Regions from separate parts of the Mus musculus genome. Here region 2 is reported to be linked to region 1. Evidence: microRNA targets listed by miRTarBase, many of them from high-throughput screens and not tested one by one. Region 1 holds a microRNA gene; the other region holds the end of a gene's coding sequence.

Region 1 (3,209 bases):
GCTCTACCTTTTGTGTGAGCACACAAATATGATCAGGAGATAAAGCCCACTTTTCCGGCTTTCTTTCTGATGGCTCACATTACACATTCTCAGCTTTCTTTTTTGTTTGTTGATTTTTATTTTGATCACATGATTGTACAATGTAAAGCAGTCAGGTCTCCAACTTGCTATTCACCTGCCTCAGCCTCTCATTGCTGAGATTATGGAGGGTGTACTGCTACACCCAGATTATATCCTATAATCATTCTTTCTAGCTGTTCTTTAAGTATGACCTGGTATTGTTTCATCTGTAGGACAGGGAACATGATCATTACTTCATAGATATTTGTGGGAACAAATTAGTTGTATATGAAAAGTACTTAATGTTGCAGATTGGTTCTAATGTTATTTGTGTTAATTTGGCTCCTGAAATCATATGGGAGCCCACATGTCTGTGCTGAGGGTCTCTGCTCCTAGTTGGCTCTGATTGGGAAATAAAGTTGCCAGTGACCAGTGACTGGGCAGGGAGACAGAAGCCAGACTTGCAGGATTCCCCAGCAAGAAGCACAGCAGAGAAGGAAGAGGGGATTCCACAATGACAAGGGCACAAGTGACAGACTATGCAGGGAAGGTACAGGAGGGAGAGACAGCTGAAATGTAGGTACAAAGGTGTTGTGTCTGGCCAGTAGATCACAACCTGGGTTCTAGCCTGGAAAGGCATTTTGGAAACCTGGAAGAGAAGAGGGGCTGGGCTGCGCGAGATAAGGAAGGAACCAAGACAAAGCTCTCTGCTCACGGTTCAATTTTTACTATTTTGGCACTCAGTTATAAAGGAAGGGGGAAGGGGCCCAATTCCCGCCAAATAATCTTGGGATCCAGTAGCAGGGTGATCACGTGATGGCTTCGGAACAGCAAAGCGGCAGGTTCCAGCAGTAGGCGTGGCAGAAAGATTGAGCGGGAAGCTCCACCCCTGAGCAAGCAAGGTTTCAGGCTGGGGGAGGGGAGACTACACAAAGGGGAAGGTGGCCCCAGAAGGGCTGCCCAAAAGGGTTCAGGACAGCAAAGATAAAATATAGATTTAATAAATTTTAGCTCAGGAATGTGGGAGGGGAGTGTGTTAGCTATGTGGAGGTTCAGGTGAATGCTCTCATCCAGTGGTTGGATGAGAGCATCCACCATAGCAGAAACAACAATATGAACCAACCAGTAGCCCCAGAGCTCCCAGGGACTAAACCACCAACCAAAGAGTACACATGGAGGGACTCATGGATCCAGCTGCATAAGTAGCAGAGGATGGCCTTGTTGGACCTCAATGGGAGGAGAGGCCCTTGATCCTGAGAAGGCTCGATGCACCAGTATAGGGGAATACCAAGGCAGGGGAGTGGGACTGGGTGGGTTGGTGAGCAGGGGGAGGGGGATGGCAAAGGGGGTTTTCAGAGGGAAAACCAGGAAAGGGGATAACATTTGAAATGTAAATAAAGAAAATATCTAATTTAAAAAAAAGAAACATAGAAGAGCTTAACAAATTACCACAACTTAATACTCTACCAAGAGCAAATATAAACTGGCATTGGGAATAAAAAGAAAAGAATATTAAAAACAACTGGAAGAGGGGGCAGTGAGTGGAATATAAAGTGAATAAATAAAATGAATAATTAAGAGTATAAAAACAAATAGTCCATAGGAAGTGAACACTCCTAAAGGCATATATGTGCATGTTCACAAATACACCTTTTCATTGTGCTATGTCTAAGGCAGTCATCATACCTTTCAGGACCAACATACAACACAGACAAAGACACACTGTTGTACATGCATGCTGATTTGTACACAGGAGAGCACGCCTACAGATTTGCTTTTTCTCTTCCATGCCTTGAGTGTAGGACCGTTGACATCTTAATTACCCTCCCACACCCAAGGCTTGCAGGAGAGCAAGCCTTCTCTTCTCTCTCCTGTGCATAGGCATGACTGCATATACATCTACAGCAAAGACATGTCTCCTCTCTCTCATGTGCTCTCTGTGTGGCGCATATATATATATATATATACATATATATATATGTATATATATACACACAGCATTGCCATTCGCTATCTCTTCCAAGTGACTTTCCTGCCTGTAATGCCCCTCTTGGTCCGCATGTGTGTGTTCCTCCTGCCTTACCCACCATCAGTTTCATGTAGCTGGTTTGTTGTTTCTGCGTGATCCCTGGGCTGCTTTCTGTTGCTTTTTCCATAGAAAGTACCTACCTGTTGTGCCAAGAGAGTGAACCCTTCCCTGCTCCCTCTCTCACATCCCTTGCATGGTGGAGGGTGAGCTCTCTGAAAACCCCTCCCACATGCAGGGTTTGCAGGATGGTGAGCTTCAGCTTTCCTTGCTCTCTTGTGCATGGTGGACATATGCATACACAACTTCATAAAGAAAACCCCACATACCCAAGGAAACAGCCATCTGTCCTGTCTTCCACCTGACATGCACATCTCACAGTTTTCTTTCTCCAGGGAGGGCTCATGTGTCCCATGCTGCCTTTGAACTCCCTGCATAGCTAAGGATGATGATGGAGCACTTTTTTTCGAGACAGGGTTTCTCTGTATAGCCCTGGCTGTCCTGGAACTCACTCTGTAGACCAGGCTGGCCTCAAACTCAGAAATTCGCCTGCCTCTGCCTTCTCAGTGCTAGATATAAGACTGGAGTGGCTATGCCTGGCTTGATGTTCCAATTCTGATCTTCATGCCTCTTTGTCCTGAATGCTAGGATTATAGGAATGTACGCCTGGTTTCTGCTGTGCTGGGGATGGAACCCAGGGTTCTGTGAGTTCTAGGCATACTTTTATCAACTGAGTTATATTTCCAGCCTTCTTACCTTCTAATTTTGTATTGTATTTTGTACAGAGTATGGACCCTTACCTTTGGTGACAGTTATTGCTTAGAAAGAAGGGAAGTCTTTTGTCCTGGTCTTGCTTTTCCTGTATATAGGGGAGCAGAGAGAGCCTTCTCAGGACTCTCATTCTCAAGTTAGCTGGAAAGAAAGCCATCTAGCTATTTCTCATAAGCTTATGCTATGAGGAAATTTGCACGTACTTCTTTAGATGCATTTGTTCACATATATACTAGATTTCAGGGAGTGGAAAAACCCGCACTGTGTCCTGCTTTCTCACATATATATTTCTTTGTGCAGGAGAGTGTATGATAGCTTTAAGACATTTATTTGGATAGTTCTTTTTTGTTTG
Region 2 (3,000 bases), not on the chromosome of region 1:
TTTCAGATGCCTGTACTCTATCTAGTACGTTGGTATTCCTTCCGAATCTAGAATAAATACTAATGGAAATTGTAGGTTAGTTTCTTACTTGAATAAATGAGGCAGTCATCGTTTCACAGTTATGGGTACAGAAGTATTTTGTCAGCTTGGGATAAAGTCAAATATTCAAAAACGTATGATGTCATGTGTAAGAACATGCTAGGTGTGCTACACACATGTAATTGTAAACTGTACTGACCACACTTCTCTGATTTTGCCTTTAGAAAACCCGTTATGAGATTTATGTCAGCGTTCTGAAAGAAGGAGGCAAAGAGCTCCTGACTACCGATGGAAATGAGCCCGTGGGACTGAAGAAGTCACACTCAAGTCCCTCCCTCAACCCAGATGCATCTCCAGTCACTGCCAAGGTCAAGCGCAACGTGTCAGAGAGAAAAGACCACCGACCTGAAACACCGGGCATTAAGCAAAAAGTTACTTAGAATCCATCCGCGGCCAGGAGGTGCTGGTCATGGAACAAAATAGGGTTTTTCAAGATCTTTCTGGTAATCCGTGAATATATTTAAAAAACAGTCTGTGACTAAACGGTGCATTAGTAACCTTTTCTATTATATATTTTTGTTAGTTTCTGTACAGGTGTCTTTGCTCTTGAGTTCCTTTGCTTTGATGATTTGGACAACTTTATAACTAATGCACCTTTTGTGAGGAGGAGGAGGAGGGCTACAGATCCTTTCTCTTCGGCTTTCTCTTATTTGCACTTCTATACAGTTATTTTGTGTATTACCAATCAGTTGTTGTATTTTTTTTTAGGTTTAAATTTTTAATCCATTGTGAAACCCATAACTGGACAAGCATTGTGCTTTTAGTAAATCCTAGACTTTACATGTGAAATCCTGCCCAGTCACGGAGGTGAAGTTGAAAGTTCATAGTTGCTCACATGAAAATGGCAGCGCTGGGAGTCGAGGTGTCCCAAGATAGGACACTTCTGCGTTCTTCCTGGCACCTGTTGTTGGTGCTGGACACAGGACAAAAGGGAGCACGAGGATGACAGGACTGGAGACCTTAGGGAGGCACAGGAGTTTGTCTCAGGTGTGCATTCCATTCCAGCCATGCAAGGGAATTCAGAAGTGGAGTCATCTTGCTTGAAGGGAGCCTGAGGATGGCTTGATCCCGAGCCACTTTTGTTTTCTAAAGGCTGGTGGCAGTAATCAGCTCTTTGGAACTGTAGCAGTAGGATGTATGGTCTTCTATAGAAATGTTACCTCACTCCCATGGAATCTAGACTAGGAATCAAAATCATCTCTGTGATTGATACCTTTCCATCCAGGAATAGATTCATTTAACATAGATGTACAGGCATAGATCATGTCCTGGTTGAAACAAAACAATGTTGGAAATGAATACCACCTTCCCCCACACATACTCTTCTCTTTCTTTTCTATATCAAGACAAATAAGGAGCAACACAGATGCAGTTCTTCATCAAGATCAGGCCATCAGACGGGCTATGAAATCAGTCTGATCACAGTGACCGAGGATGGAGGGGTCTGATGTATGAGCAGCGTCTTAGCTTATTCTCATCTCCACCTCTACAGCGGTCTTGCTATGCCACTATTAAGATTGCTCCTGGAATTACTTGTATACATTTAATCTTATTTTTTTCCTGCATTCAAAATGGTTTCACTTTACAGTCAAAGCAGTCCCTTTACAATTTAAAGTATTAAGTAGAGTATTGTCTGTAGAGGAAGAAAAAGGCGTAAAAGGTGAACTTCCTCTGTGGCTGAAAACTGTCCAGTTTCCAGCCTTGAAACTGTATTCTCTAAAACTACTATCTTCCCATCAAAATATCTTCAAAAACTAACAGGATGACATTTAGATATTCTTTATTCTCCTTAAATATTTCCTCTATTTCGACTTGGTTAGTTGAAGGTACTATGACCAGAGAATCAGCTGCTCTTGCATGAATAGCATGATTCTAGTAAGTTAGAGTAAGCCTGTTAAAAAATCCCGGTAGTTTATAGAGACATCTCGTTAGGATGTACTAGCATTTAGTCACAGGACTGTGTGTTAGCCTGTACTTCTTTCACCTCTGTACATGCCCACCTTGCTTGTGCCCCGGAATAGTAACACTTCTCTCCAATACGGTAGCTGCTTGCTTCATGGTATTTTGCCACACTATTGGAAAAACTTCCCTAAACTTCTATCTTGTTTAAGTAAAGGCAGTGATTTAATTTATATCTCAGAACCATGAAGCGAATATGATAGTTAACATTGTGGCTCCATATACCTGAACTATTTCATAGCATCCTAGTGAATCCAATATTCCCCAAGCAAGTTGCCTTTCTTCTAGAAGGTGAACTATCACTGTCTGCTTTTTGCCTAAGTATTTGTAATCCCTGAAGGGAAAGGTACCAAGACCTTGGAGTCTTGAGCATCATCTTAGAGCATCAGTAGCTGAACAGTTAACATGTCTAAATGTGTTTGTCCACAGTGTGTGCTATATGTATAGAATGTTTGTGTGTACTTATGTAGAGTATCTAATATACATTGAATGGTACCTTGCTGCAGAGTTTCTGACATGGAGAATTGTCTAGGACTACCCTTAGCATTAGCTCTGCCACTGTTCCTGTTACAGGACTCACTAGTGTTGGCTCTAGAGCTTCTGGACATGCTTATAGATAATCAGATCACAAAGGCACTTTTAAAGCTGTGGACTACTCTGTCTACATCATTTATCTTGAAAAATAACTGAAGCAGTCTTTTGTGAGTCAGAATCCCAGCCTGCCCTAGTGTAATGCTGTCTACCTTTGGGGATAGGCTAAAAATGTGTCTTCCCTGAGGCCTCTGGAAGGATGCTGCATTCTCAGATCTGATGGGACTCTAAGAGTCTGGCCCATAGTCAGCCCCATTTCTCCCACAGTATTGATTCCTAAGAAATGGAAGGTGGTCCATTGAACAGCTCTGCTAAGCCTGTTGCCCAGTACACGGTACCGGGAGCTCTTGT

The links. Region 1 holds the annotated microRNA mmu-miR-532-5p (CAUGCCUUGAGUGUAGGACCGU, at 1,847-1,868, shown strand). A microRNA usually pairs through its seed, bases 2 to 8, with sites in the 3' UTR of a target mRNA and lowers its output. Matches are read on the target gene's strand: a 7mer-m8 pairs with bases 2 to 8, a 7mer-A1 pairs with bases 2 to 7 and ends in A, and an 8mer does both.
Region 2: the mRNA of Psd3 is a reported target of mmu-miR-532-5p. Seed matches in the 3' UTR shown: 7mer-A1 at 1,352-1,358.

What each region holds. Positions count from the first base shown.
Region 1 is chrX:7,247,115-7,250,323 of GRCm38, reverse strand. Mir532 (microRNA 532) reads left to right here and starts at 1,827; the gene lies at 1,827-1,922. All of the region lies in intron 2 of Clcn5 (chloride channel, voltage-sensitive 5), which reads left to right. It overlaps Mir188 (microRNA 188), which reads left to right and starts at 2,268; the gene lies at 2,268-2,335.
Region 2 is chr8:67,694,451-67,697,450 of GRCm38, reverse strand. Psd3 (pleckstrin and Sec7 domain containing 3) reads left to right here. Exons shown (of 16, transcript NM_177698.4): 16 at 264-3,000. The coding sequence ends at 479. Among named protein-coding and RNA genes, the nearest start is that of Gm32888, 170 kb to the left of the region's middle.